2 linked regions of the Alligator mississippiensis genome follow. The protein of the gene in region 1 purifies or fractionates together with the protein of each later gene. This does not show direct contact. Links are inferred from orthologs where the notes say so. Each region holds a gene or a part of one and is shown on either strand. Other genes may lie near its edges. The genes, in order: PRKAG3 and PRKAA2.

The links.
Region 2: the proteins of PRKAG3 (region 1) and PRKAA2 purify together in Homo sapiens (affinity purification with mass spectrometry; 3 studies listed by BioGRID and IntAct, counting the BioPlex papers as one, with this or other methods). This does not show direct contact. The link is inferred for Alligator mississippiensis from reciprocal best matches to the Homo sapiens genes PRKAG3 and PRKAA2.

What each region holds. Positions count from the first base shown.
Region 1 is NC_081827.1:253,862,613-253,878,788, forward strand, and holds the start of PRKAG3 (5'-AMP-activated protein kinase subunit gamma-3), read left to right. Parts: upstream 1-8,862; 5' UTR 8,863-10,066; coding exon 10,067-10,570; intron 10,571-10,920; coding exon 10,921-11,002; intron 11,003-11,196; coding exon 11,197-11,255; intron 11,256-11,385; coding exon 11,386-11,431; intron 11,432-11,908; coding exon 11,909-11,963; intron 11,964-12,292; coding exon 12,293-12,419; intron 12,420-15,283; coding exon 15,284-15,449; intron 15,450-15,583; coding exon 15,584-15,621; intron 15,622-16,176. Other genes in the region: tubulin monoglutamylase TTLL4, read left to right, coding at 612-740, 960-1,082, 1,952-2,050, 3,505-3,639, 3,997-4,134, 5,221-5,323, 5,969-6,179, 7,162-7,229 and 2 more. UniProt on the Homo sapiens protein: AMP/ATP-binding subunit of AMP-activated protein kinase (AMPK), an energy sensor protein kinase that plays a key role in regulating cellular energy metabolism.
Region 2 is NC_081828.1:12,123,047-12,138,713, forward strand, and holds the start of PRKAA2 (5'-AMP-activated protein kinase catalytic subunit alpha-2), read left to right. Parts: upstream 1-8,232; 5' UTR 8,233-8,317; coding exon 8,318-8,411; intron 8,412-15,667. UniProt on the Homo sapiens protein: Catalytic subunit of AMP-activated protein kinase (AMPK), an energy sensor protein kinase that plays a key role in regulating cellular energy metabolism.

The sequences.
Region 1 (16,176 bases):
CCCCAGCTGCCTCCCTGCAACAGGGAAGGCAGAGCCAATGTCCTGCCGCTGCTAGTGGGGTTGGTGGGCATTGGAGAGAGCCCAGGCCCTGGCCGTGCCTCTGCTGCAGAGGGAGGGGAAACCCCACCGACCAAGCTGAGCAGGGGGCAAATCCCTGCCTGCCCCCCAAAGGCAGCATGAGCAGGAGGCAAGAGCCTGTAGCCAGGACCTTGCGTGGCTGAGTCCCAGCAGGAGCATTGGCACAGCTGGGCACAGCCCCAGACTTGGCTGCAGCCAGCACCTGATGCCCTGGATCCCTGGGAAGGGGCAGTGACCTGGGCTAGGATGAGTCTGTCTCAGGGCACAGGAGCCTTCCTCTGGGCTGCGTGCTGAGGCTGGACGAGGCACCTCCAAGCCTCCCCGTGTTATCCACCAACCTAGCACCCATGGTGCCCTGGGCCAGGCCGCCTAGGAGGGCGTGGGGTTTCCATCCCTGCAGGCTTAGGAGTGTTGGCTGGGCTGGGCTGGTTTGGACCAGAGCTGCGGGCATGGGGGCCCTGGGTGCAACTCAGGAGCCTGGACCCTCACAGCCATGCCCCTCCCCACCCTCATGCCCCCCTCGTTGTCTGCAGGTACCTGCATAAGCCCTACCTCATCGGAGGCAGCAAATTTGACCTGCGCATCTATGTCTACGTCACGTGCTATGACCCGCTGCGCATTTACCTCTTCAGGGATGGGCTTGTGCGCTTTGCCAGCTGCAAGTAAGTCTTCAGGGGCAGCTCAGAGCAGGTACAGGCCAGCTGTGCTGCTATCTGGGCACAGTAGGGGGCTGATGTTGTGGCAGGGCACCAGTCTTCTCTGTAGCAGAGTAGTCTGGTGCTCCCAGAGCGGAGGTTAAGACAGAGCCCCCTCCCTGCCACTGTCTGGGCACCCCATTACCCACATGCTGATCCCTGTCTACCCCCCTGCTCCCGGCCCAGGTACTCATCCTCTATGAAGAGCCTTGGCAACAAGTTCATGCACCTGACCAACTACAGCGTGAACAAGAAGAACACAGAGTACAAGGCCAATGCCGACGAGACCGCCTGCCAGGGCCACAAGTGGTAAGGCCGGGGCTGGCTCCTCTCTATCGCTGTGGAGAAGAGGGGGGTTCCTGCCAGGGCTCTACCACCGCAGAGCTCCAAGCACTTTCCAGAAGCAGCCCAGTGTTGTCCCATGTCCGGCAAGGAAACTGAGACATGGGCAGGGCCAGTGGCAGAGCTAAGGATGGTATTTGCCAGACAGCTCCGCCCCTGCCAAGCTGCCCTCTGCTCTGGCAACCTCAGTTGCTGGGATGCACCAGGCACAGCTGCCAGTGACCCGGGTATCGGAGTTATCCCTGTTGCTGCTCCCAGGAGCTGGGCCAGGCCTCACCGTGCTCAGCGCTGTCCTTTCCAAGGATGATTCTGCCTGGAGTTACCCCTGGCTGCCCACAGGTGCAGGGTGGTGATGGGGGGCCAGGACATGCTTGGGTCATAGTCACATCCAGGCCAGGCAGGCTGCAGGGCCCCCCTCTGGCTCCATGGGACCTGCAGGGTACAGAGCAGCTGACACCGCTGCCCATGCTGGGGGTTGTGTGGGGGGAGGCCCTGCCCTTCCCTGCCCCCTTCCTGGCGTAATGCCCCTGTTACATAGCGCTGTCCGATCCTTCTGATTCCTGTGCGGGACCTGGGAGCAGTGGTGACCTCCTGGCCCATGCAGTCCTGACTGGTTGTGTGGGAGGTTCACTGTCCCGGGGGTGGGGTGGGGGGACAGAGCTATCTATCCCAGCCCACCCTGGCTGCTGCAGCACTGGCTGTCCGTAGTAGAGAAGTCTGGCCACAGAAGAGCATGCTCCGTGACTCTGCCCACTGTGGCTCCCTTCCCCTCCCTGCATGCACCTGGGGTGGGGCAGGCACCTGGTGCTGTGACCTCCCATTATCTGGCTCCCCAGGGCACTGAAAGCACTTTGGAGCTACCTGAGCCAGAAGGGGGTGAACAGCGAGGCCATCTGGGAGAAGATCAAGGACATTGTCGTCAAGACCATCATCGCGTGAGTCTCAGGGGCCCCCTGCCAGCTTCCCTAGTATTGCCACAGCCCTGAGCTGTCCTGTTCCCTGGTCATGTAGTGACAGCAGCTGCTGGGCTTGGCCGTCACCTGCAGCCTGGGAGGAGTCGGTGTCCAGCGAGCTGGGGTGGGATGGACAGTTGTGTGCTCCTAACCCAGGATAACTGCCAGGTGTGACTCCTCTGGCCAGAGCTGGGGGCAGAATGCTCCCAGCATGGGTCACAGCAGCATAGTGGGCTGGCATCTGCGGCCATCCTAGTGCCTTGACCCCTGCCCCCAGCCACCCTGTGATAGCTGCCCCTTGCATGAGCTTCTGCTGCATTACCTATGACTGTTATCAGAGCTGGGGGGGGGTTACCCCAGGGCAGAGGGGTCTGGGGCCATCTGTCCTGTCTCCTGGGACTCGGGTCCTAGGCAGCTCGTGTCCATATGCTCTGCCCAAGATCCTTTCTGCACCCCTATCCTTCCCCCCCCCCCCCCGCACCTATCCAGCACTGGCTGTGCCTGATGTCTGGGCCGCAGGGATCTAGTTGCAGCCCCAGGGCGGCCAGGAACTTTGTCTCCTTCCCATGGTGATGGCTGTGAGGTGCCCAGGCCTCCGCTTGGGCACCCTCTGAGGCCTGGCTGAGCATCTGCCCTCACCTAGGCCTCAGGACCCTGGTCTCTGGCTGGAGCATGCCCTGTGGGGCCAGGGCAGGAATGGCAGGTCTCCAGTGCTATGGAGGCCTGTTCTCAAAGGCCAGTTTCCCTTGCCAAAGGCCCCCACAGATCCCACCAAGGCTTGGCTAGGGCAGGTCACTTGGGACCTGAGTTCAGGTTCATAGAGCCACGGCCAGCAGGGAGCTGTGGGGTCACATCCAGCCCGAGGCAGGATCAGCCCCAGACAAACCCCATGTGCAACCTTGGAGCTGCACGACACAGTCATCCCTGACACAGCCCCAGGCGTCACCCCTGCCCCTGGGATACATGGGGCTGTGGGCATCAATGTCCTGGGAGTTGGGCGCTGGAGAGATCCCAGGCCCAGGCTGTGCCCCAGCTGCAGAAGGAGGGAAAACCCCCCAGGCCAGGCCATGCTGAGCAGGGGGCAAATCCTTCCCTGCCTGCCTTGCAGCCAAGGCAGCCTGAGGCTCTAGCCAGGACCCTGTGGGGCTGAGTCTCGGCACAAGCGTTGGCACAACCCGGGCCCAGCATCCAGCACCTCTGGGGGCAGCTTAAAACCCACCTGACACGTGGAGCAGAGACTCGGGGGGAGCACAACTAGCAAAGATTTGTTCAGCAAGAGTCTGTGCTGCTATGCCCAGGACTGGCCTGTTGGGAGAGCTGTGGGAGCACTTCTGCCTGTTGGGAGAGCTGTGGGAGCACTTCTGCATGAGGTGTGGTGTGGCGTGGCTAGCTGCTGCCCAGCTCCCCAAGCTAGCATGCCTCCCCTTGGCTGACAGGTCGGAGCCCTACGTGACGAGCCTGGTGAAGATGTACGTGCGGCGCCCATATTGCTGCCACGAGCTCTTTGGCTTCGATGTCATGCTGGACGAGAACCTCAAGCCCTGGATCCTGGAAGTCAACATCTCCCCAAGGTGGGCACCCAGGGGACCCTCGGCCCTACTGCCCGGCACGTCGGTTTGGGCCCCTCCCTCTCTCTCCCCTACCGAAGCGGGGCACAAAGGCTCCCTGCCCTTTCTCTATTTCAGCGTCTCTGCACATTCCCCCGGATGAGCTGGTCGACAGCCGGGCGCTCAGCTGTGCTCTTGGCAGGGTAGGGTGGGTGTACTGGGTCCGGGGCCTGCATGAGAGCTGCCCATCATTGTGGGAGGCATTCGCCCTCACAGAGTTCCTTAACTATCACTCCCACAGCCCTTGTGGGTGGGGAGAGGGGCCAGGCACCTCCGGGATCTCCGGCCACGGCAGACTCATTCCTTCCCTGCTCCCCACAGCCTCCATTCCAACTCGCCGCTGGACATGAGCATCAAGGGCCAGATGGTCCGCGACCTGCTGAACCTGGCTGGCTTCATCCTGCCACCTGCCGATGACATGGCCTCAGGCACCACCAGTGGCAGGAGCTCCGCCACCAGGTGAGTCGGGGACTGGGCCCGGCCCAATCCTCCTCCCGCGGCTGGTCCCTGCCTTCAGCTCCCAGCTACGTTGTGAACAGGGCAGAGATCCTGAGCTTTGTTATGGACCCTCACCCCTTCCCGCAGGCCCCTGAGGCCTCATGGGTTAGAGTTATAGGAGAAGCGTAAGGCCCTGACTGCCCGTGGCTGTGCAGGGGGCTTTGACCTGGCCGTTGTGCCTCGTCCAGTGTCTAGTTGCTTCCCTCCTTGCCCAGTGTGGCACCAGCTCCATGCAGCTCAGGAGAGCAGAGGGGGGCTCTGTGTTCTCATGACTGCCAGCAGGGTTTGGAGTAGGTGTCCGGCAGCACCCGTGGCCTTCATGGGGCCTGCGCAGTGCCCAGAAGAGCGGCTGCTTCCCAGGTCAGACCCTAGGTCCGTCCTGCCTCGACTCCAGTGTCACAGGGCATCAGAGAGCCCATGAATCAGTCTGGAGCAGCTTGGCTTCTCTCAGCTGCTAGCCCTGCCCCACTGCAAGATGACACCAATCCTGTCTGCTGCCAGTGCCCCAAGCAGAGGCCTGGAGCAGCCTCTCTGCCTGCCCTGCCCTGCCCTGCCCATCTGCCCTGAGGCACTTTCTAACCTGGCCTTGGAGCAGCACCATCCCCTTAATGGGATCCAGAACAACCATCCTGCATCCAGGGGCGGCCTGTCAGGCTGGGACCTGTCCAGGGCAGAGCTGGGCAGTTAGTTGGAGACGGGCACGATTCCATGCGTTCCCCAGTGCTGCCAGGAATAGCTCGGGCAGGGCTGGCCCAGTGAGTCCAGGACAGCATGGGGGGAGGAGGGACATGTTGCAGCCATGTCTGTGACAAACCCATGGCTACAGCCAAGAGCCAGGGTGGGGGGGCCTGGATCTGTGCTGCCAGACAGAGGCCCTGGGATCCTGGCAGATGAGCAATGGGGTGTCACCGGGGATCCAGCCTGTGGTTTCATGCAGGCTGCGGTGGTTCTGTCTCGGCTGCAGCCACCCCTCCCTGGAGCCTGCGGGGGCCCTGGGCCGGGAGGCTGCCGACGGGCAGAGCCGTAACCGCGCCGTCCTCCGCACAGCCTGAGCAGCACCGCAAGGGAGAAGCCCCGGCCGGCCCCGGAGCAGGTGGTGGCCGAGAAGATGAAGAGGGCATATTACCTGACGCAGAAGGTGCCCAACCAGGTACGAGGCGCATATGTGCGTGTCCCCCTCCCTTGCAGGCCCCTGTGCCCCCCTGGCTGCAGCTCTGAGGCCTCAGCCCTGCCACGGCCCTCCTTTTCTCCTGGACCTCCTCAGCAAGCAGGCAACACCTCTGTGCCTCAGTTTCCACATCCTACAGGTTGCTTGGGGCTCAGGGAGCTCTGCTGAGAGCCACTGAGTGAGAAGTGGGGTGGAAGGGACCTCTGGAGGTCACATCTAGTGTAACAAACTGGAAGACAGCAAATACAGATTGGACATCAGGAAAAAATTCTTTACCATGAGGGTTGCCCGGATATAGAATATGCTTCCAAGGGAGGTGGTGCTGTCCCGTTCCTTGGAGGTGTTTAAAAGGAAATTAGATGCACACCTGGCTGGGATCATCTGACCCCAGCACTCATTCCCGCCCAGGGCAGGGGATCCAACTCGATCTCATAAGTCCCTTCCGACCCTACTTCTATGAAACTGAGATCCAACCTAAACCCACTGGGTTGCAAGCCCCAGCCCTGGGTCCACATCCTCGGCAGCAGTGGGGAGGGCTGGGGTGCAGGACCGAGCCAAGAGCTGGCCCCAGGGGCTGCGGCCCCCTATGCCATCCTCTCGACCCACACCTGCTGCTCCCGGGTGCAGGATTTCTACACCTCGGTGCTGGATGTGCTGACGCCGGATGATGTGCGGGTGTTGGCAGAGACGGAGGATGAGCTCTCGCGGCGCGGGCAGTTCGAGCGAGTCTTCCCTGGGCCTGGCGCCTCCCGCTACCTGCGCTTCTTTGAGCAGCCACGCTACTTCAACATCCTCACGGCCCAGTGGGAGCTCCGTTACCACCTGTGCAAGGGTAAAGGTAAGTCCCCTCCGCACCCCTTGGAAACCTCACGGTTCCTCCCCCAGCGCCCTTGGCTGTCCGGGGAGGGGCTGGCCCAGCATGGGCCTTGAAGCAGGTCTGGCTCCCAGCACTCTGTCTTAGAGGGCTGCATTTGGGCATTAACCCCTCCAGGACTCTGCCATCACCCCCCCCAGGTCCTTGGTGCAGTGGGTCGTAGGGAAGTCAGGCTGGAAGGGACCACAGGAGGTCCCCTCTGGGCCAGCCCCCTGCGCAAGGCAGGAGCACCCGCATCCAAACCACCCCAGATGCGCATCCGTCCAGCCTGGTCTGGTTTCCAAGCTTGGAGGTTCCACCCACGGCTCTCTTGGTCCAGGTCCTCTTGGTCTCCTGCCTCGGTTTCCCTTGCTGCAGCTCGAGGCTGTTGTTCCTCGTCCTGTCCCCTGCGGGCCAGAGAAAAGCCCGTCTCCATCCTCGATTGGCCCTTTGGGGATCTGAAGCCTGGGGTCCTGCCCTCATCCCCCTGGTCTTCTCTTCTGCAGGCTGAATAACCCCAGTTCTTTCAGCCACAGTCGCCACTGGCCCCCTCACACCCTGGGTCTAGAGCTGAGGCCAGTGTCGGCTGCCCCTGCCTGGTGCTGGGGGAGACTGTGGTGGGGTTTGTCCCCTGCTCCGTGGCCTGGGCGCTACTCTGGGCGAAAGCCGAGGGTTGCCTCTTGGCACCGGCGCTGGCTCGTTCCCCTCCAGCATCATCCCAGGGACTCCTGCTCACAGAGGGAGCAGGCAGGCTGGCTCCAGGCAGGCGCCAGGGCCCCAGAGATGCTCCGGGCTCCTCCATCCAGTTCAACATGGAGTTCATTGCTGCTCTGGTGCCCACCTGCATCCTGGGAGCTTGGCAGGGCCCTGGACCCGTCCAGGCTGAACTGAGCAAGCCCATCTTCTCCTTGTGGCGTTTGCCCAGGGCCCAGCTGCCCCCCTCCTCACCCAGCAGCTTCCCTTGCAGGCTTGGAGCTGCTGCGGAGCTGGTGCCGCCAGGGCTTCCATGCGGGGGTAGCAACGGATGTACTGCTGGTGAGAGACCGCCCGTGCCCTCCTCTCCCACCACAGTCCCTGGGGCTCTGGTCCTGGGACCCCAGCTGTGGCCTCAGCACCTCATGATGCCCCTGCCCCTTTCCTCTCCCCCTGCAGTGGTCTCTGCCCAGGTCCCATCTCCTCCAGAAGAGCAACCCCCACCTCAATGGCTTCAGCAAGCTGGACCCCAGCCGCATCAGGTAAGTGATGGCTGCAGGGCGCAGGCCCTTGTCCAGAGGAGGGGGCTGGCACGTGTTCTCGGTCACTCACCCACCCCCTTCCCTTCCCCTGCCCTCCCCTGCAGCAAGACTCTCCCAGCGCAGGAGCCCAAGGATGCCACCCGGGCACCAGAGCCCAGCCCTGGAGCCCAGAGCTCGTCCCTGCTGCCTTGCAGTGGCGGAGCCAGCAAGAAGCCTGGAGCCCCCCTGGCCGAGCCCACCCCGGCCTTGTGACTGAGCCGCCAACGCCCCCTTTGCCCCCACCCCAAGCTGAAAGTTTTGGGGGGGGGACCTGGAACCTACCTCACCGGAAGCTGCAAGTGCCAGCACAGGAGCCCTGGAACCTGCCCCGCCGCCCGCGTGCCACGGTGCCGGAGCCAGGCCGATGGACACTGGGATGTTTCAATAATGATCTCTGGAAGGCGAGGCCGGGGCTTGGCGCCGTTCTTTGGGCAGGGGGGAGGCGCTGGGGGTAGAGCCGCAGCCCCTGTGCCATGGGGGCTGGGTCCAGCTTCCCCCACCCCACAATTCTGCCCGCAGGAAAGTTCGTCTTGCCCAGGGATGTGGAGCAATGGCCACTAAGGGGACTTGGGCACTAGCACCGCTGCCCTCTCTGCCCCCAGGCTCTGACCCTGCCCCCTTCTCCCCCTCCCGGGCACCGACCCTTGCCTGCCCCCAAAGGAGCCAGGCTGTCACACGGTGCCCCCAGTGTGGGGCAGGAGCTGGCGCTGCTCCAGGGACGGGGGTCCCCTTCCCACCTGCTCTGCCTGGGCTAGAGACCGTGGCCCCGAGGCTTGGCTGGGCCAGGGCAGCCGGCAGCCCTGGACCTGCGTGTCTGCCTGTGGCGTGCAAGTGCCCAGAGCCCTGGGCCTTGCCCCCAGTCTGCCCAGTTCCCCCCAGCAGGAGAAGGCAGTGCCCTCCTCCCTCTGCTTGCCCCAGTCCGGCATTCCCGAGTGACCGAAAATAGCCGCGGGCGGCAGTGAAAGCGGAGAGCCCCGTGTGGGTGTCCAAGGCCCGGCTGTGTGTGTCGTGTGTGTCCCCACCCTGGCCATGGGGCTGGCACCTGGCTCAGCTTTGTGGCTTGGACCCTACAGGCCCCTGTCCCGTTCTCCCCCGCCCCCGCCTGGCACCTGCTGCCCCCTCCGTGCCTTGCCCGCTGCCCCCTCTCCCTGCCATGTGCCTGCCAAAAGGGAGACCCAGTGCCAAGCCCCGGCCCCTGGAGCCCTCTGGCAAGACCAGGGGCTGCCCCGGGGATGTGCGTGGCCCCCACTCCCCAGTTCCTGGTGCCAGGGTGTCCCCCAGGCTGGGGGTGGGGTCAGGCTTTGTACGGGGCAACACTGGCCCCAGCGGGTTTTCTAATAAAGTCTGTGAGTGCCGAGGGCTGGGCCTCGCTGATCTCTGCTCGTCGCCCCGCACCGCCAGCCCTGCCACTGCTGGAGGTGTGGGGAAACCGAGGCAGGCTCGGGGTTGGGCAGAGGGGGGGTGTTGCCTGGCCTCCACCCCCCGCAGCCATGCAGAGGGCCGAGCCGCCTGGCCTGTGATCCGAGAGGTTACGTGAGCTGCCCGGGCAGCTGTCCCGAAATCGGAGCCAGGCCTTGTGGGGCGGGGGAGCAGCTGGGGGGGACCTCAATTGTGCCAGCTCCCGGGGGCCTGATGTGATGTGGGACTGAGCCCCCTCCCCCAGCGGCTGGGCACACTCGGCCGTGCGTCTGCCTGGGCATCCCCCGTCTGTCCGTGCATCCATCAGCGCTGCTGGGGTCACGGTGCCAGGGCTCTGGCCTAGCAACCCCTCGCGCCCCCCCGCAGCTCAGACAGCTGGACCCCCCCGGCAGGGCGCAGGGCCTGCGACACTCAATCTGCCCGCAGCCGGCTCAGAATAGCAGCGCCGGGGCGGCTGCATGGAGCTGCCCGTCGCCACCCAGCAGGTACTGGCGGGGCATGGGGGGCTGGGGGGCCAGGGGCAGCCCCCGCTGGGGGGACAGGGCCCAGGGGTGGGCCAAGGGCCAAGGTGGCTGCCTGCACCCTCGGCCCAGTTGCACCAGTTCCTTGGCCCCTCCTGCCCCAGGGCCCTGGCACTTGCCAGCCTGGGAGTGCACCCCGCTGTGGTCTGGGATCCCCCCCTGCCCAGAGCGGGTCCCATGGGGGGGCTCAGACCCCCTGCAGGGTGAGGCTGGGCCCAGGCCTTAGGCTGCCCTGCTGGTGCCTCCCCAGTAGCAGGTGCAAGGCCCCGGTCACGGCAGTGCCCGCCTCGCTCTGCTTTCCGCCCTGCCAGGTCCGGCCGCTGGACGCCCGGCTGCCCTCGCACCAGGCAGGTGGGTCGGGGCGGCTGTGCAGCGAGCGTTGGTCCTTGGCCCCGCCGGCGCCCCTCACTTCCAACCTGCAGCTCCCTGCTCCCATCTCCAGCCCTGCCGGTGCTGGTCCTGACCCACAGCTCCAGTTCCTTGCCCCAGCCCCCCGGTGCTCCTCACTCTCAACCCAGGGCTCCCCCCAGTCTCCTCCATCCTGTCCCCGTCTCTGCTATCTTGGGGACCCCCTCCCAGTCTGTCCTTGCCAGCTGAGCTGTCCCCTCCAGCCCTGGAGATAGGAGTGAGGGGCACTGGCAGGGCTGAAGGGTTGGAAATGAGACTGCTCCCTGTAATCCCCACGGGGGGCAAAACAGTGGGGTCCCTGCCCCCAGCCAGAGGGTTGGGGGGGTTGCCAGTTTGTCCTACTCCCCAATGCCCCCCACCCCTGGTCCAGTGTGCAGAGGCCGGGGCTGGGGATGGGCTGGGATGGGACTGCCCCCGGTTCACGGGGCTCCTGCTCGTCCCTCCAGGCTCCCACGTGGCCCCACGGGCCCCGTGCTGGGAGGCTGGGGCCCAGGATGTGGGGCTGGGCCTGGGGGACGCAGGAGCCGACGTGCAGGGCATGGAGGTTGAGGCCACGGAGCCGGAGCCCCAGGCCACGAGCTCGGGCGAGCCGGAGCCGGTGCCGGTGCCGGACGCGGAGCTGCTGGGGCTGGGCCCGGAGGTGGAGTTCCAGGCGCCGGACGCCGAGGCGTACATGCGCTTCATGATGAGCCACTGCTGCTACGACGCCATGCCCACCAGCTCCAAGCTCGTCGTCTTCGAGACTTCGCTTGAGGTGCGGCCCGTGGCCGGGGCTCGTAGGGGCCGGAGCCTGCGGCTCTAGGGCCGGGCCTGGCGCTGCGGGGGTCTGGGCTGTCAAGGGGCAGGGGCTGGGAGTCCACGGACTCGGGTGGGGGCTGTGGCCTCAGGGGCAGCCGTGGTCTCCGAGAAGGGCTGTGGCTTCGGGGGGGGGCATAGTCTCTAGGGAAGGGGCTGTTCCCCCAGGGGGTTGGCCGTTGTCTCGGGGGCCAGCTCTGGTCTTGGAGAGTGACCTGGGTCTTTGGCAGTGACCGTGGCCCCGGAGGGATCGGCTGTGGCCTGGTGCCTGCCCCCCCCCGATGCCTTCCCCCCCTGCCCCCTCCCCAGATCAAGAAGGCCTTCCTGGCCATGGTGGCGAACGGCGTGCGGGCGGCACCGCTGTGGGACAGCCGGCAGCAGTGCTTCGTGGGTGAGTGCAGGGCCGTGGCCTCGGGGCAGCTGTGGCCCTTGGCTGAGGTTGGGGGGAGGGGGGCTATGGGTTGTGGGGTCTGGGGGGCTGCCGTGATCTCTAGGGGAGGGACTGTGGCCCCTTGGGGGTGGCCGCACTCTCCAGGGCCTGACCTCAGGGCCCCCCTGATGATTCCTCCCCCTGCCCCCCGGTAGGCATGCTCACAATCACCGACTTCATCAACATCCTGCACCGCTACTACCGGTCACCCTTGGTGAGTCATGGCCCCAGGCGGTGTGGGGGGAAGTGTGCCAGGTGGGACCCCCCCCCACCCATGGGTGCTGTGGGCCCCATGCAGAGACCCTTCCCCCCTGGTGCTCACCCCTCCCCACCATACTCTGCAGGTGCAGATCTATGAGATCGAGCAGCACAAGATTGAGACCTGGCGAGGTGAGAGCATGTGTGCACATGTGTGCAGGTGGGAGACTGCATGCACGTGTGTGTGCCTGTGAGCATGTGTGTGGATGTGGGGAGGGAGAGCGGGGGGAAGAGTCTGGGGGTTTGGAGGGGGCTGTGTGCAGGGTCAGGGCGCACGGGCCTGACACAGGCCACTACTGTGAGACGTCCAAGGCACGTCGTGGATGTGTGTGTGTGTGTGTGTGTGTGTGTGTGTGTGTGTGTGTGTGTGTGTGTGCCTGCCTGTGTACATAGGTGGGTGTGCGTGTGCCTACTTGTGCATATGCATGTACGTGGGTGCATGTGCATGCCTACTTCCATGTGCATATGCATGTGCATTTGCACGTATGTGCTTGTGCATGTGTACTTGTTTATATGTGGGCATGTGTGCATCTGTGTGCATGTGCACACCTACATGTATGGACATGTGCTGCCTTTACCCCCCGCCTCACGGTCTCTGCTTCCCTGCAGAGGTTTACCTGCAAGGCTCCTGCAAACCCCTCGTCTTCATCTCCCCCAACAACAGGTAACTGCCCCCTCCGCCAGGCAGGGAATGCTGGGGAGGCAGGGGCAGCTCTGAGCCAATCCCCCAGGTAGCTGGGACCCCCACCAGGGTCTTTCCCAGCACTCGGGGGGGCTGGGCACTAGGGTGGTGGGGGCAATGAAGATGGGAGAGACAGGAGTGGGACCCAGGAGTCTGGGCCCCTGAGCTATGTGTGATGGGGGGGCAGGCTTGGCAGGCTGGAGCCAGCCCAGGTGCCCCCCGCATGGTCAGAACCAAGGACCTAGAGCTGGGCAGGGGGGGCCCAGCCACCCTCCTCCCCCCATGCTACCCCTGGGCCTTGCTCCCCCCAGCCTCTTTGATGCTGTCTACTCGCTGATCAAGCACAAGATCCACCGGCTGCCCGTGATCGAGCCGGTGTCGGGCGACGTCCTGCACATCCTCACGCACAAGCGCCTGCTCAAGTTCCTCCACATCTTCGTGAGTGGGGCGCGGGGGGGGGACCCTGCCTTGCCCCTGTCTGTGGCAGCAGGAGGTGTGTGTGGCGGGGGCCATGCCCAAAACATGCCTGGCAGGGTGGGGAGGTGTGCTGGGGTACCTGGAGGCTGAGCTGGGTGCAGAGGTCCTGGTGTGTGCGAGCCACGTGTGTGTGGAGAGGAGATGGGCACACGTTGCATATGGGCAGCAGGCGTGTGAGCTGAGAGATGAGCACACATATGCAGTGCCAGTGGGTGTGTGTCTGCATGCAGGGGTTATGTGCTTGTGTGTGGTTGTGAGTGCATATGTGGAAACGTGTGTGCACATGTGTGTGTTTGTACAAGCCTGCTGGGGGTATATATGTAGCAGGGTGAGCACATGTGCTATGTGCATACGGACGTGCATGCATACATGTGTGCAGAGGGTGAACATGTGTGCGAGCACGTGTGCAGTGTATGGGTGGGAGTATACATGCAGGAGGCATACATGTAGTGGGGCGAGCACACCTGCTGTGTGCACATGGGTGTGCATGCATGCAGAGGACAAGTGTGTGTAGAAGGGTGAGCACACATGTGCAGCATATGTTTGGGTAGAGGTGAGCAAGCATGCAGGGGGCATGCTCTTCCTTAAGGAGAGGATTGTCCGAGCCCGAGGGGTGACAATCCCAACGTGAGTCAAAGGAAGCAAGAGTGCTCAAAAGCCCCCTTGGCTCGCCAAAGGCATTCAGGAACTCTTGAAAGCCAAAAAGAAGGCATACATCCAGTGGAAGGGGGGGAGCTACCACCAAAGAGAAGTATACCTCCTTCGCTCGGGTCCGTACGGGGACTGTTAGGAAGGCTAAGGCGGAGACGGAAGTAGAGCTAGCATCAAGGACAACAAAAAGTCCTTTTTTAAATACATGGGGAGTAAAAAGAAGGCACCAGGCAACGTGTGGCCCCTGCAGGATACGCCTGGCAATCTGGTGGTTGCACCAGAGGAAAAGGCAGACCTTGTTAACAAATTCTTTGCCTCCATTTTTCTGAGCAGGGAGCGGGATGTCCCCCCCGGGACTCAGGAGAGACTCCGCCAGGCCTAGGGTCAGGGAGGACCAAGTCAGGGAACTTCTGGAGGGGCTGGATGTGTTCAAATCAGCAGGTCCAGATGCTCTCCACCCCAGGGTGTTGAGGGAATTAGGAGAGGTCATCGCGAGGCTCCTGGCACAGCTTTACAAGCACTTGTGGTGCTCTGGCCAGGTGGCAGAAGGCTGGAAGAAGGCCAAAGTGGTTCTCATTTTCAAAAAAGGGAGGAAAGAGGACCCAGGAAATTATAGGCCCGCTAGTCTTACTTCAGTCCTGGGGAAGCTCTTTGAGAAGATTATCCAGGAGCACATCTGGGAAGGAGTGGCAGGTGGGACGAAGCTCAAGGGCAACCAGCACGGGTTCATTAGGGGCAGGTCCTGTCAGACCAACCTGGTGCCTTCTACGACTAGGTCACAAAATCCTTGGACGCAGGTGTTGCGGTGGATGTAGTCTTTCTGGACTTCAGGAAGGCCTTTGACACTGTCTCCCATCCCATCCTCATTGAAAAGCTAGATGACTGTGGCATCGATGCCTACACAGTCAGATAGATTGCGAATTGGCTGAGGGGTCGCACTGAGAGTGGTGGTGGACAGGTCACATTCGACCTGGAGGGCTGTGGGCAGTGGGGTTCCCCAGGGCTCGGTCCTCGGGCCCACACTGTTCAACATCTTCATCAGTGACTTGGACGAGGGGGTGAAAAGCACCCTGTTCAAGTTTGCTGACAACACCAAGATTTGGGGCGAGGTGGGCACACTAGAAGGGAGGGACAGGATACAACTGGACCTGGACAGGTTACAGAGGTGGGCGGATGAGAACAGGATGGGTTCAATACTGACAAGTGCAAGGTGCTGCACCTGGGGAGGAAGAGCCAGCAGCACACCTACAGGCTGGGGAACTCCCTTCTCGTCAGCGCAGAGGCAGAAAAGGATCTGGGAGTCGTCATTGATTCCAAAATGAACATGGGCCGACAGTGCGGGGACGCTGTCAGGAAGGTCAACCACACCTTGTCGTGCATCCACAGATGCATCTCGAGCAGGTCCAAGGAGGTGATCCTCCCCCTCTACGCAACACTGGTCAGGCCGCAGTCGGAGTACTGCGTCCAGGTCTGGGCACCGCACTTCAGGAGGGATGTGGGCAGCATGGAGAGGGTCCAGAGGAGGCCACTCGCATGATCGGGGGCAGCAGGGCAGGCCCTACGAGGAGAGGCGACGGGACCTGGACCTGCTCAGCCTCCACAAGAGAAGGCTGAGGGGGATCTGGTGCCCATCTATAAACTGTCCAGGGGGGACCAGCGGGGAATGGGGGAGTCCCTGTTCCCCTGAGTGCTACCGGGAGTAACAAGGAATAATGGCTACAAGTTGTTGGAGAGTAGGTTCAGACTAGACATCAGGAGGCGCTACTTCACAGTCAGGGTGGCTAGGATCTGGAACCAACTTCCAAGGGAAGTGGTGCTGGCTCCTACCCTGGGGGGCTTTAAAAGGAGGCTGGATAATTCCTAGCTGGGGTCATATGAGCTTAAACTTACCAGGGGTCATATGAGCCCAGTATTCACTCCTGCCCAGGGCAGGGGTCGGACTTGATGATCTGCTCAGGTCCCTTCCGATCCGACCAACTATGAACATACGTGTGCGGGTATGCAAGCGAGCTGGATGCATGAGAACATGCATGCTGCGTATATGCGTGTGTGCAGGATCATGTCTGCAGCATGTACAGCATTTGCATGTGCAGGCAGCAGTGTGCGTGGGTCAACCTGAGTGCAGGGGGGTGTGCGATCACACGTGCAGGTGTGTGCAGCTGGGCTGCTTGCAGGGCACGACTATCCCGAAGCCGCGGTTTCTGCAGAAAACCATCCAGGAGCTGGGCATCGGCACCTTCCGCGACGTGGCCATGGTGCACGAGGCAGCGCCCGTCTATGACGCCCTCGAGATCTTTGTCGACCGCCGGGTCTCTGCCCTGCCAGTCGTCAATGAAGCTGGTACGGGTGCACACCCGCCCCCCACCCCACCCCACCCCGAGCCTGGGTTGCTCCCAGTGCCCACTCATTGCGGGTCTGTAGGGTCCCATCCCTGCTGCCCGTGGCCCTGACACTTCTCTCCCATGTCCCCGCAGGGAAGGTCGTGGGGCTGTACTCCCGCTTTGATGTCATTGTGAGTGCCAGGGGCGGGCATGGCGGGGAGGGGGGCTCTGTCCACGTTGCCTCGTGGTTTGGGGGTGGGGGGGGAAGGAGCTGCTCCGCAACCCTGGAGCTGCTTCGGGGCCTACTGTGGGGCAGGGACCAACCCCGATTGCCATGGGGAGGTTGTGCATGTGTGTGCAGGGGTGAGCGTGTGTGTGTGTGTGTGTGTGTGTGTGTTTGTGCATGCGTGCAGTGGTTGTGCATGTGTGTGCATGGAGATGAGCGCACGTATGCATTGTGTGTTCTTGTGTATGTATGCAGGGGTTGTACACGTGTGTGCCAGAGTGAACGTACCTGTGCACTATGCGTGTATTGTGCATGCATGCAGGGGTTGTGCACGTGTGTGCGCACCTGCAGGGGGTGTATCCATGTGTGCATTGGGGTAAGCACGTATGCAGTGGGTATGTGCATGTGTGTCAGGGTTGTGCATGTGTGTGAGTGGAGATGAGCACCCATTTGCAGCATGTGTGTTCTTGTGTATGTATGCAGGCGTTGTACATGTGGGGGTGAGCACATGTATGCAGTG
Region 2 (15,667 bases), on another chromosome or scaffold:
GGGGGCTGTTAGGAAGGCTAAGGCAGAGATGTAACTGGGACTAGCGACCCAAATCAAGGATAACAAGAAGTCCTTTTTTAAATACATAGGGGGTAAAAAGAAGGTACCGACTAACGTGGGACCTCTGCAGGACACACTTGGAAATCTGGTGGTTGCACCAGATGACGAAGCTAACCTCTTTAACAGATTCTTTGCTTCCATTTTTCCAAGCAGGGACCGAGTCATCCACCCCCCTGGGATCCTGGATGCACCCAGGGGAGGCAAAGTCAAGCCCAGGGTCAGTGAGGCCCTAAGAGGATAGGCTTAGGGACCTGAACCTGTTCAGCCTCCACAAGAGAAGGCTGAGAGGGGGTCTGGTGGCCACCTATAAACTGGCCAAGGGGGACCAGCAGGCAGTGGGAGAGTCCCTGTTCCCCTGAGCACTACCGGAAGTAACAAGGAATAACGGCCACAAGTTGACAGAAAGTAGGTTCAGGCTAGACATCAGGAGGCACTACTTCACAGTCAGGGCGGCTAGGACCTGGAACCAACTTTCAAGGGAAGTGGTGCTCGCTCCTACACTGGGGGTCTTCAAAAGGAGGCTGGATAATCTTGCTGGGGTCTTTTGACCCCAGTACTCTTTCCTGCCCATGGCAGGGGGTCGGACTTGATGATCTGCTCAGGTCCCTTCCGACCCTACCAACTATGAAACTATTGTCTCAGAATTCCTCCAACCCCTCACAAGGTGAGGAAAGCCATCAGGCAGATGAAAAGCAACCAGGCATCTGGAGTGGATGGCATCCCCGCTGGAATCTTAAAGCAGGGAGGAGAGGAGCTCACATCACCGTTTCATGCCTTCATCTTAAGGATCTGGAATGATGAGGAAATCCCAGATGAACTTAGGGATGCCATGATTGTGACTATCTTCAAGAAAGGAGACATGTCTGACTGTGGAAACTACAGAGGGATCACCTTATTGTCTACCACAGGAAAGATCATCACAAGACCTCTTCTGAACTGTCTGCGTCCACTTGCTGAAGAGCTCCTCCCGGAATTTCAGTGTGGGTTTAGGGAATCAAGAGGCACAGCTGAGATGATCTTCACAGCTCACCAGCTGCAAGAGAAATGTGGGGAACAATGTAAGCCTCTCTACACAACCTTCATTGGCTTCATGAAAGCTTTTGACTCTTTGTCAGTCAAGAAGTATTGCCAGGAGATTCCTTCTGAAGTATGGATGCCCATTGACAATTGTCACTATTCTCTGCCTAGTCATGGATGCCATGATGATATGCAGGTGATGGTTCTCAGTAATGGATCTATCACAGAGCCCTTTGAGGTTAAAACTGGAGCTAAGCAAGGCTGTGTCATCACTCCAACACACTTCTCGAAATTCCTTGCTGCAATGCTGCATCTGACCACCAACAAGCTTCCAGATGGAGTAGAGCTAAACTACCGAATGGATGGTAAACTGTTTAACCTCAGCTGACTCTGAACCAAAACTAAGACCACCCTGACCATAGTCATTGAGCTCCAGTATGCTGATGATGCTGTAGTGTGTGCTCACTCAGAAGCAAACCTTCAGGCAACTGTCAACGTCTTTACTGAGGCATACAAGAAAATGGGACTTATGCTTAACATTCAGAAGACTAAGGTTCTCCACCAACAAGTTCCTAATGAACAGAACCCTGTAATCCAGATCCAGTAACCCAGATCCATGGTAAGACTCTGGAGAATATTGTGCATATCCCATACTGTGGAAGCCCGCTCTAACAGAAGGCCGACATCGATGAAGTAATCCAGCATCGCCTCAAATGGCAAGTGCAGCCTTTGGGCACCTGAAGAACTAGGTGTGTGAAGGTCGCAACATCAGATCCAAAACCAAGTTCATAGTTTATCAAGCAGTTGTGATCCCCACCTTGCTGTACAGAACTGAGTCACGGACAATGTATGGGAAACATCTAAAGTTGTTGGAGAAGTACTATTAATGCTGCCTGTGGAAGATCCCCCGAATCTAGTGGGAAGAGAGAGAGACACCAACATTAGTGTCCTCTCACAAGCAAACACCACAAGTATTGAGGCAATGATCATCTGGCATCAACTTCTTTGGGCCAGCCATGCCATCCAGATGTTTGATCCCAGACTCCTGAAGCAAGTTTTATTCTCCCAGCTCAGCCATGGTATACATTCAAGAGGAAAGCAGAGAAAGCGCTTGAGGGATGCCCTCAAGACCAGCTTAAAAAAATGCAACATCAATGTCAACTCATGGGAAACTATCACCCAGGACTGCCTCAAATGGAGGAAGAGTCTGCTGCAGGGCTCTCGGTACTTTGAAACCTCACAACAACAAGAGGAAATGGACAAGTAGGAACGGCTGAAACAGCATGTCACAGCCCAAATAAAAAAATCCAGCGCCACCACCAGCCACAGAAACACATGTCTGAGTTGCAGTAGAGTCTGTCGATCCTGGATAGGCCTCATCAGCCATCTTCGAACACAAAGATAAGACAGTCGTGGCAGACAATCATCTTGACTGAGAGGAATTTCCAAAGACGATGATTGGGTTAAAGGTATGTTCACTCTGTGACTATACGGGGTTAATTCTAGGTATGGTTTAGTTCAGAGGATGCCTGTGAGGAAACATGCAGGAATGTAGGACAATGGATCTGGATAAAAATCTGTCCTTACCAGGTCAGAAAGGCAAGAAACAATATTTGATGAATTAGTTCTGAAAAGGCTACTTGTAGGGTATTCAAAACAGATGTCTTGCCAAGAATGGGTGCAAACAAATCCAAAGGACCATGAACAATAAAAAACAGTCTACATTCAGAATTGAGGAGCAGTGGTCAGAGCAGAAGACAAGAGATGGAGCAGTGTCAGAAGAAGCTAGACCTTACCCAACTCTCCTGGGGGATCCTAAGAGTTAGGTAAGATAGGTACAGAAAAATAATCCTTTTCTCTCTTCTTTCTGCTGGGACCTTACTGTTCTGATTAAACATGACTTTGTCTCAAGGAAGCTCTCTGGTCACCCTGGTCTCAACTGAAAAAACCTCCCAAAAAGAAGATACATTTCTGAACAGGGTGTGCTTTTATTATGTATTATTACTTATTCTTTGAATTATGAAAATGGCCTGATTGTTGCTTTGACAGTCTTTGTTTGAGCTAATTATAATCAATGGAGATGTTGGAAAATTACAATATTTTTCTCATCATTAGCAGTACACTTTCATAATTTACTTATGATTTTGCCACATATACTTTGTTTATATGTCTTCATTGCAAGGGTTGGAGTCATTATTTCTATTTTTATATTTGTGTAGGTCCTTGGGTAATTTGATGCTGCCTTTGGAGGTCTTCAGCTACTCTCTTGTGTTTAACCGAACACATTGCAAAGCTGGGGATTAATGGCATTCAAATATTCTCAAAATACATTTTACGGGCCTTATAAATACATTTTATACATCTTGTTAACTAATATTCAAGCATGCATTGCTTAAAATGAGGTAATCAGTTTGGTTTTTTTAAATGTCACTTCTTTTCTTAATGCAGACAGAGTCCTGCTTAATGGAGGACTGGAGTCTTAATTTGAATAAACTTTCTGATTTTTTGCAATCATCTGATGACAGTTTTTATGAGAGATTTCATAGATTTCATAGACATTAGGGCTGGAAGGGACCTCGGAAGATCATTGAGTCCAGCACCCCACCGGAAGGGCAGGAAATCATTTGGGGTCATAAGATCCCAGCAAGATAAGCATCCTATTTACTCTTGAAGGTGTTCAATGTAGGTGCTTGAACCACCTCTGATGGCAGGCTGTTCCAGACCTTGGGGGGTCGGACAGTAAAGAAATTCTTCCTTATGTCCAGCCTGAAACGGTCTTGCAGTAGTTTGTAACCGTTCGACCTCATCAGCCCTTGGGGGGCTCTGGTGAACAAATGTTCCCCCAGATACTGGTGGTCACCCCTGATAAACTTATAGATGGCCACCAGATCACCCCTGATCCTGCACTTTTCCAGGCTAAAGAGCCCCAGGTCTCTCAGCCTGTCATCGTAGGGTCTACTTCCCTGACCTCTGATCATGCGCGTGGCTCTTCTCTGGACTCTCTCAAGCTTCTCCACATCCTTTTTGAATTGTGGGGCCCAAAACTGGACACAGTACTCCAGGTGCGGCCTCACCAAGGCTGAGTACAAGGGGAGAATGACGTCCCGGGATTCGCTTGAGAAGCATCTATAGATGCAAGCCAGTGTTTTGGTCGCTTTACTAGCAGCAGCATTGCATTGCAGGCTCATGTTCATTTTGTGGTCAATGATAACCCCCAAGTTTCTTTCTTCTGTAGTGCTAGCCAGCGTACCACTGCCGAGCCTATAAGGATGCTGCAGGTTTTTCCTCCCAAGGTGGAGAACTTTGCATTTTTTCATTGCTAAACACCATCAAGTTCTCGTCTGCCCATTTGCTGAGCCTGTCCAGGTCAGCCTGGATCACCCTCCTGTCTTCAGGTGTGGATGCTTTGCCCCAAAGTTTGGTGTCATCGGTGAACTTGGCCAGTCCACTCTGACTCCAATGTCCACATTATTAATGAAGATGTTGAACAATATGGGTCCAAGGACAGAGCCTTGGGGGACCCCACTGGTCACTGGGCACCACAACGATTGACTTCCATCAATTACCACCCTCTGGGTCCAACCACGGAGCCAATTTCCCAGCCAGCGGATCGTGGTGGACCCAAGGCCACAACTGGCCAGTTTCGCCAAGAGGTGATCATGGGTTACCAGACTGAAGGCTTTTTTGAAGTCAAGATATATGACATCAATCTCTTCTCCCTTGTCCAGGTGATAGATCACCTGGTCATAGAAGGAAATGAGATTGGTCAAGCTGACCTACCCACAACAAACCCGTGCTGGCTATCCCTCAGGATGTTGGCATTGGCCAGTCCATTAAGGATGGCCTCTTTAATAAACTTTTCTAAGATCTTCCCCGGGATAAAAGTCAGGCTGATGGGCCTATAGTTTTCCGGATCCACTTTCCTCCCTTTCTTAAAGACTGGCACCACATTGGCCTTCTTCCAGTCTTTGGGCACTACACCAGAGCGCCAGGAGCTCTCGAAGATCCGTGCCAGGGGCTGGGCTATGATGCTTGCCAGCTCCTTGAGTACCCTGGGGTGTAGATTGTCAGGGCCGGCTGACTTGAAGGTGTCCAGCCTCTCAAGGTGTACCCTTATGAGGTCAGCATTGATGGGGGGCAGGGGATCTCCCTCACCCGGACCTCCCTGTTCCGTAGCAGGCATGGGCATCCCATGGGACTGATGAAAGACTGACGCAAAGTACCCATTTAATAGGTTGGCTTTTTCCTGGGCGTCAGCTGTTAGTTGTCCCATCTGGTTCAGCAGGGGTTCAATGTTGCCCTTGCTTTTCCTTCGGCTCCCAACATAGAGGTTTATTTGAAAGAGGAAACTAACTTCAGGCAAACACCAGTGTTACCCCATCACAGTTCTGTGTCGCCCGCTAGCAGCAAAATCAGGGATCTTAGTTTAGGACTAATGCTGCATGAACTAATGGGGTAGCTTAGTTTGCTCCAGCTCTAAATTGGAGACCTGATGGGCCCAGGTTCAGTACCTGTAGTTGACCTGGTGTGTCGTCACACAACCGCTACCAGTCCAAGGCCTGGGCCCAGCCTATAGCTGTGGCAAGGGATTCGGAGGAGGAAGATGTAGCCTTGTTAAACCTACAGCTCCAGTGTGGATGACCTGCCAAGTTCGCTCCCTGGGAAGCTTGAGAAGGGGTGTGTTTCCTCTTTTTTGAGACAGGAAAAATGAGGAAAATCTTCATTAGAATACAAAAGACTATCAGTAAATGGCCAATTCCTTCAGATGGACAATGTAAGTTAAAAACACTGTTTGTTTGTTTTCTTAAATGAGTCTTCGAATTGGAAAGAAAAATCTTAGGAAGAACTAGTAAAAATAGCTTGCTCAGAGCAGCTGGGTTATTTATCCAGGATCCCTGTATCATTCAGGCCCCTGGATTTGAATCTATTCTGGAAGGTTTCATCACGTGATGTAAAGACATTAACGACTTCATGTCAGGTAGGCAAATGCACATGACTATTCCACTTTAAAACCCCACTGGACTACTGTATCAATCAAATTCAACATTTAATATTTATATTAATGAATGCCCTATCATTTATCTCCCAGGTGACTCTCAGCAGCCTCCTGCAGGTTTATCTTGAATTCCTGGAGACTCCAGGGCAATGCTGGAGGGATGGCAACCCTACCTGAAGCACAGGGCAAGAGTCTTGTGCAGCAATTTCTCGCCGTGCTGCCAAAAGCACCACACAAGGCAAGGGGCCAAACACTAGCCACCAACAAAACCCTGTGTGTTGAAGCAGGACGCTGCAGCACCCACAAGCCCACAGCAGGGCAGGCACTGTCAGCAGCATCAGCAGCACTTCTCTCAGGGGGTGCGCCACCAATCTCAGGGGGTGCGCGTGCACCTGTGTGCAGCCCCTAAGTGTCACCAATGGGACAGAGGACAAAGTAGCAGAAAACCAGAACATCCTTTCCGATGGCTACCCTCACCCAGCTTCAGAGGCCCTGTACGATGAAAACAATCCGTGAAAACGGAGGCTCCGTACAATAAAAATAACGCGCAAAAATGGATTTTCATTACATTTTAAAGATGAATTTTTGACATACAAAAAAACCTACAACTTGTGGTTCCAAAATGATCCCTTCCATTAGACCAAGTGGAAAATCATAAGCCAATCGTCCTTTTCTGCAAGCTTTCCCCATCCAAGTTCCTTTGTCCGGCTCTGGGGAAAAGTTGAGATGGTACAAGATGCTAAAAGGCATCATTTTGGCGCCAAGTGTTCTAGTTTTTTGTTACAGGGGCGCAGGCTGTAGCTGTGTTAGTCTAAAGACATGGGCAGACAAGGTTCTTTGGGTGAATCTGATCTCTTTTATTAGAGTCACTTCAGTTGCTAACAATTATTTTAAAAATTTCCAACTATTTCAGTGGGTCTCATAAGATTCTTTGGGTGAATCTCTTCTCTTTTATTAGACCCACTTAAATTGCTAACAATTTTTTAAAAAATTCCAACTATTTAAGTGGGTCTCATAAGGTTCTAAAGTCCTTTGGGTGAATCTGACCTCTTTTATTAGACCCACTTAAGTTGCTAACAATTTTTTTTTTTTAATTTCCAACTATTTAAGTGTGTCTGTGTCTCATAAGGTTCTTTGGGTGAATCTCTTCTCTTTTATTAGACCTACTTAAGTTACTAACAATTTTAAAAACAATTTCCAGCTATTTAAGTGCGTCTTATAAGGTTTTTTTGGGTGAATCTGATCTCCTTTACTAGACCTGCTTAAGTTGCTAACCATTTTTAAAATTTTTCCAACTATTTAAGTGGGTCTCATAAGGTTTTTTGGGTGAATCTGATCTCCTTTACTAGACCTGCTTAAGTTGCTAACCATTTTTAAAATTTTTCCAACTATTTAAGTGGGTCTCATAAGGTTTTTTGGGTGAATCTGATCTCCTTTACTAGACCTGCTTAAGTTGCTAACAATTTTTTTTTAATTTCCAACGATTTAACCACTTAAGGTTAAATAGTCTCATAAAGGTTCTTTGGGTGAATCTGATCTCTTTTATTAGACCCACTGAAGTTGCTAACAATTTTGTAAAAAATTTCCAGCTATTGAAGTGGGTCTCATAAGGTCCTTTGGGTGATCTGACCTCTAAGACCCACTTAAGTTGCTAACAATTTTTTTTTTTTTCATTTCCAACTATTTAAGTGGGTCTCATACGGTCCTTTGGGTGAATCTCTTCTCTTTTATTAGACCCACTTAAGTTACTAACCATTTAAAAAACAATTCCCAGCTATTTAAGTGGGTCTCATAAAGTCCTTTGGGTGAATCTGATTTTTTTGGTCTGCCTAGTTTTCTGTTTGTCTACTCGTCTCACACCCACCCGGGCTACCAAGTGCACCCCTGCACCAATGATGGATATCAATGAGCCATGGATGTGTCTATGTTTGTGGTCTTCGAGTGGAAACCTCGGGAGGGGAGGGGGGGGTTATTTTATTTTATTTAATTTTGGGGGTGGGGTGAGGTGGGGGTTGCTCCTCATCTGGCAAGGCAGTGCGCGCGCGGCAGGCGCGGGCGGAGCGTGGCCGGGCGGCAGCGCCGCAGCGGGCGGGGCGGAGCGGTGCGGGGCGGGGCGGGGCAGGGCGGCTGCAGGAGCATCCCCGCCGTCCCCCCGGCGCGGGGCACCCCCGGTCCCGCGGCCGCGCCGCGCCGCGCCGCCCCGCCCCGCCCTGCTGCATTGTGGTCCGGCGGAGGGGAGCGAAGATGGCAGAGAAGCAGAAGCACGACGGGCGCGTGAAGATCGGGCACTACGTGCTGGGCGACACGCTGGGCGTCGGCACCTTCGGCAAAGTCAAGAGCTGAGTGGCGGCGGGGGGAGGCAGGGATGCGCCGCGGCACCCCGCGGGCTGCAGGGATGCTGCCGGAGGCGGCGCTGCGTGTGTGCGCGGGGAGAGGGGCAGCTCCCGCTGGAAGAAGGAGCAGGGCTGGGTGGGCACGCAGCATCCTGCGGCTCTCCCTCCTCTCTGCCTCGTCGCGGCGTAGCTGTGGGCCCGAGGGGCAGGTGCTTGGCTGCCGGCGGGGCAGCGGGAGGCTCCGCGGGGACCCGCTGCGGGGCGGGGGGAGGACGGAGGGCGAGGAGCCAGGGATCGCTGCCCGCTGCCCGCACGCACGGACCGGAGCCGCGCAGCCTCTCGTTTGCAGCTCGGGCACGCCTTCGGCTTCTGCTGCCTGCAAGATTTGCAAATGCAAATGCAGGCACGCTGCTTTTTGGGGTTGTCTTTTTTTCCTAGGCAGAATTGCAACATGAAGTTTCATTTGGGATTTGGCTTGGATGGATGGACGGTGGGAGCAAAATAGACTGCAAAAAAAAACAAAAAAAAAGGGGGTGGGGGGATGGGCGCTACCTAGGCCAGAATAAACATGATCATTATGATCGTGATAATCATAACAACAATAACAGTAATGATAATAATAATGATCATTATGATCGTGATAATCATAACACCAATAATAATGACGCTAATGATGGTATGGATAATAATGATAATACTAATAATGATAATTATGATAGTGATGATCATAATAATGATAATCATGATAATGATTATCATGATAGCGATAGTCATAACACCAACAATAACAAGAACAATAATGATGATATGGAGAATAATGATAATAATACTGATAATTATGATAGTGATGATCATAACAATAATGATGATGATACTGATAATTATGATAGTGATGATCATAACAAAAATAACAACAATAATAATATGATACGGATAATAATCATAATGATAATTATGATAGTGATAATCATAATAATAATGATAATGATAATCATAGTAATAACAATGATGATGATGATAAGGATAATTATGATAGTGATAATCATAACAACAATAATAACAACAGCCATAATGATGATACGGGTAATAATGATGATAATGATAACAATAATAATTATGATAGCAATAATCATAACACCAATTATAACAGCAACAATAATGATGATAGCATAATAATGATGATAATGATAATTATGATAGTGATAATCATAACAACAACAATAACAACAATAATAATGGTGATGATAATAATGATAGTGATAATCATAACACCAATAATAACAACAATGATAATGACAATGATAATAATGATAATGATAATAATGATAATGTTAATCATAACAATAATAACAATAACAATAATGATGATAATAAATGTTCCCCATCATGCAAAACTGCACATACTGCATAACTGCAACAATAAATGACCATTTATCCAAGCCATTCCTGTATATGGCACTGACCTTCATAACAGCCAGCAGTTTCCAAAGAGACGTTTAAAGCAGCATCATTCTAATTTAAGAAACGGCTTTTCCTGGAGAGGGAGAATAAATACAAGAAAATAAAAATAAAATCTAATCTCTTCCTTTCTGATACTATAGTAAGCTTTCAGGGCATGTTTGACAGATGCAAAGTGGGTTCGGGGGGGGGGGGGGTTCAAACTGGGATGAAACGTGATGTGAGGCTTACGTGTGGAATGACAGCATTTGTCTCTAAACAAGCACTAGGATTACTCGTGTTAAAAAGAATATGACCGGAAGGAGACAGATGATGAATTACTGATTAAAGCTATATATATTATATATATTAAATATATATATTTAGTATATTACATCATTTTTTCTTACTAAAAAGGGGGGCTATGTCATTTTACACTCTCCCCCACCCCTCACCACTGATTGGTTCAGAGAGATGCCCATTTTTGGGTCTGGCTTCTCAGCCAATCAGCGGGAGGGGGATGGCCCACATGACGGATGGCCCTCTCGGCCAGTTTGCAACCAGGGGTGGGGCCATAGGATGGACAACCCTCTCGGGCAATAAGCGGTGAGGGGCCCTCAACCAATTAGAGGCATGGGAGGGGCCTGCCACAATAAGCCCGCTTAAGTGGTGGTCGGCCCCGCAATTGACACGTGAAATCAGTTGCCTGCCGCCTCGATTTCGGTAGGTCCCTAATAATACGCATAGGGGAAGCCTTGGAAGAGCCGCCTAGAGGTGCTGGGAAAGCACCGCTGGAGATTTTGAAGAACATAGTAAAAGAAACCTCTGTCCGTGGCTAAAAGTATACTTGATCCTTCTCAGGGGTTTGGACTGCTTGTACAGATTACAACAGTAATATTATAGCAGCACTCATTAGGCTTAGCCAGGGTCTTGGTTACCGCACAAGCACACATCAAAGACAAGCCCTAAAATAGAGGGGCGGTAAGCAAAAACCAAGGGAAAGGACAGTGGCTTGACAGGCAAGCAAAGGTTTGGGTAAAGAACTAGGACAACATTGTTACAGATGTTCCTGTTTCTAAAGTAAAATCTGGTTAATTATCACTCCAAGGGGATTGATGGGTAATGATGACTGCTTACCAGTAATTAGTCCTTTTCAATTCTTTGCTAGATGTATTTTTCATGTCATAGTGAGACGTGGTAAGCAATGAAGTTTGACATTTTAACAAGGAAGAAAAAAATTACAGAAGTTTTGAGTGCAAAGTATGTGCACTCCTACGCACTACCTAAGAACTGTCTGACGAAACAGATAAATGTTTAATGGACTTTTTTGAAAGAAAACTGTGGCGTGCTCACTCTTTAAGAGTTAAATGATTATGAGGGAATGAAATAATCAGTCAGCTATTTTTTCTGTCTGCTCTTACATGGACTCATCATCAACGTTCCCTTTAAGGTTTAGTGATCTGTGAGCAATCCTGGCTGGGAGTGCATGGGTATCTCGGTGTGCCCCCCACCCCACCGCCCTCCTCTGCAGCAGCTTATGGCTGGGCTGGGGTGGGTGGTGAGCAGCCGGAAGCGAAGTCGGTGGTGGTGGGGGGGAGCATCAGCACCCCCTTGCTATGGCACTGGGCATCCCCCCCAGGCCGGTGCCGCGTGTCCATGACCCCCTACTGCTCCCCATCGGTACACCACTGTGTGCGCGCCATTAAAAAGTTATTGCGTGGCATGATTTTTTATTGTGCGCGGCCACACATGCACATAGCTTAGAGAGAACCGTGCTCATCATCCCAAAATGGAAGATAATACGGTGCTATGGTTCATTGTCTGCATCTGATTGAGTCAAAAAAAGCTGGAGTATCCAACACTTGGCAAGCACCAGTGGGCTTGACAGGAGCTTTGGGGGGCGCATATCTTTTAAGCAAATGAAACCATATCTTAAATCGTATCTTTTAAGCAAATCATATCTTTCAAGCAAATTAATTATCAGAAGGAAATCTATTGTGATTTAGTGTGTGTACATTTGGAACGGGCTGCGCTGTAACAGATAAACTCGCCAAAGTGTTTTGTGTACAAATCAATGGGACGCTAATGGGGATTCAGTGTACTGACTAATCAGACCATAGCAATGATGAGTTATCCCAGTGCATCATTAAACAGATTTCACTGTGTTTAATTTGGGAGTGGAGGTAGGGAGGGTAGTGGGGTAGTTATTAGGATAGGAGATCTCTCCCATAAGCGCTTGTATTCTAGGTGTAGCACGTGCAGATATCTTAAATGCTTTGCCTTTACTGCTTCAACCAAAAGCCACGTGTAGAGGAAGAGACGGGATCTGTTTTAAAGAGCTCAAAGGGATCTGTTTTGAAGAGCTGGGCCAACAGGGACCTTTAGCATTTAGTGTAAACTTTAATGAGTCGCAGCTGATTGCAAGAGAAGTACTATTTCTTTCCATGGCCTGTTTCTACTTCTAAACCAGCTAAATCAGAAAGGTCCACTTTTAGAAACAGATTTTGCCCACATTTGCCTTGTTAGCATTCTCCGATGAATCTTTACCAAACATGGAGATTAGTGCACTGTCCAGATGAAACAGTAGGCTTTAAAAAAAAAAGATCAAGTCCCTTTTGCCCTGACTTCTTCAAGTTTGAGAGTGCTGGTGCTTATCCTTTGTGCTTGCTGTCTTGTTGCTGGAAGATCTGGGTAGCTGCTGCTGTTCCTTTTATTAATCACATCCATTGTTTCCATGACAAGGTGAATCACTGCTAGCCTGCTGAGCATCCTGAGGTCAATTCAACGTGCAGTTATACGCATAGCTAATGCCTGTCATTTGCCAGGAACGTGAAAGAATTCATTAAAACCTGTCTTACTTCCCTTCCCTGCTTCCCCCACCCCATCCATGTACACCCTTTTTATTGCATGGGATAACTTAGAAAGCAAATGCTTGGCTTGCTGAAAAAGAAACCCTCTTCCTAGTGTTTTATGGCAGGTGCCAAGAGCTGGCAGCAGGACTGATAATCTGGGGCTCTTGGAGTTTGGGGGTTGATGATCCCATTTTAAAGGGAACCCCCCTCCTCTCTTTATGGGGAGAAATGTGTTACAAAATACGGCAGTCTCTTTTTGGGTAAAACCCCCCCAAAGGAACAGGGCAGAAGGTGACATCCTGCAACCCCAGCTCTATGTGAGTGAAGCAGCACCAGCATCACTAAAGAAAGGTCTTTCCCTCCTTAAAGAATTTCGGTCTGAGCCTTCTCCCCATAGCTGCATGCTGTTTCTCGCCCCATTTCCATTGATTCCCATGGAAATTTCCAGCAAAAATCCACAAATTGTCAAGAGAAAATATGCCAGATAATTCCTTCTCCTGTCCTGGCCTGGAGAACCTCTGTGCGTGATGTTACTATGGGATTCCTGCAGTTGCCTCGGGAGTACAGACTGCTGCTCCCCTCGTTCCTTATCACATTCACCACCCAAGATCAGTCACCCTCCTTCGACCAGCTTCAAGGGCTGGAAGTACCTTTTTTACCAGGATCTGTGCAGGGAGCAGGAACCAACATCACCCAAGAAGCTGGGGGAAATGAAATCCCCGAGTCTAAATTCCTAAAACCCAAAATAATACCAATGTGCCATCATTTGTGAAAACCAGATAATACACGTTAGGCAATACATGCAGCTTCCAAAGCATCTTTGGACGGAGCCCAGCCTCCAAACTAGACCAAGCAGCCTGAGATAGCTTGTGGATCTTTTTAATACTTTTGCCAACTAAAGATACAGTGAAGGTCAGGGGCGGCAGTCTACCAAGCCAAGCACATAGCTGTCTTCACTCCAGTATATAAAGCCTCCTGTAGCTAGAAGCAGCAGCATTAAAAACTTGACGTGCTTAAAAGGTCCCCATTGCACAGCAAATTACATTCTCTCTTTGTCTCTGTCTCTCTTAAGACATGCAAGTAGGCTTAACAAGTCACTGGGGACTGAAACAATAATATCTCTGTATCTAATGCTTACTGTAATCAAAAGATGGATTACAAAACAGACTTTATTTTTAATTATTAATGTGCTGAACTAAAAAAATAAACCACAGAGTTGTATGCTGTTTATCAAGGATGAAAGGAAGAGAAACCATTCAGGAACATTAGTATTGTTATTTTAATTCTTTCTTTCAGACCTTCTCTAGTATATCGGTGATTAGGTGATACATAAAAAAGAGATCATGTCACTGGAGTAGGGTGAAGTAGGTCTAATAATTGGTATCCGGCAGTGCAGTAAATTACTGTGCTTAAATGCACATGTAGATGGTGATGTTGGGATTAGTCTATTCTGGCTCAGATTGAGCTGGAGCATATTTGGTCACATTCATTGCATGTGTAGACGCGCCCATTGTGTGGCTGATTGGTGAAGTGTGGGGCTTACAACCTCAGCTAAGTTGTGTCCCACACGGGTTTATCCGTTCCTGATACAGGGGCTGTAGACCTTGATCTGAAGCTATCTATTCAGGTTCCCTTTCTCTTCCCTCCTCCTACTGTGCAGCATGTACCCTAGGTACATTCTGGGTTGGAAGACAGACTGGTTTCCTTTGTAACACCAGTATTAGCCAGAACAGGGCTGCACAAACCAAGAGGAACCCCCCAGACCCCCCCATGCTTGTACAATATGAGGTCACCCTAATAGGTCCTATACATTGACATTCTCCATGGATGCCCCAGTATAGAAGAAGAATTTCTTAGCATGCAGTTCTCTAGAGGTTCAGGGCTATAGAGAAGTCCATAAGTATGGCACGGTATGATGTCATAAATTAGGGCAACCCCTGGGATGCTGTAATTTCCCAAATCTCAGGAGTGCAAAGATCCATCCGGGAACACGCCTTCTAATAGTGATTACTAGTGTTTTCAGTATACTGCACAGTGAGAATGACATATCTGCCTCATCCTGCACTGGATCCCTGAATTGCTCTTATTATACAAAATGCATTGCTTTTCACTGCCCTTATTTGTTTCTGTTTGTTTTTTACTATTGTGAAGTCTAAAATGGACATGCAAAGGAGCATTTTATTTTCAAGTGAGGCAAAGTGTTTTATTTTTAGGATACTCCTAATGAGGAAAGAATCTCAGGCAGTTCTTATCTCTTAGCTAATAATAGTGACCTTGCTCACTCTGAATGGTAGCAGTGTTACCACACACTCCTTTTCATGGTCATCTGTACACATTCAGGCATTGCATTATGCTTCTAATGATCTCTTTAAAGCTGATAGCAATTTAGGATGTTCATATTTTAATAGCAGGGTTTGTCCATAAGACAATTATCAACTCCTTACTGTTTCAAAGTATTATTACATGGCCTTCCTGATTATAAATGTTACCATTATGGTTTTTAGTGTAAAGAAGTTTTCAGTGTAACCTAAACATCTGTCTATAGTTCACCATTTTAAAAGCACTATGAGATTTTTTACATGTGTTTGGTTCGCTACCGATCTAAGCTGTGCTGCTTAGAGAAAACGGTGTTACTTAGATCAGTTTTGCCTCAGGCTTTTTGAATGTCTGTACCTAGCCTTAGTTAAATCCACCATTACATTAATCACAAATCAGCTTTTAAAATATACATTGATTTTAATCCACTAAAATATGTCAACTAATAGTGGTTTCCCCTTGTTTTAGATCAGATTGGTGATCTCTTTTCATACAAGGAAGTTATCAATGTGCAGTTATGACAAACTGTAGATTTATTTTGACTGAAGTAAAGCTAAAGCAAAATATAATAATCTAAGACCTCAGTTTTGGAAGAGGTACACATATGCTTACATTACATGCATTAAGTAGCAATGAGACAACTTGCAACTTGCAAT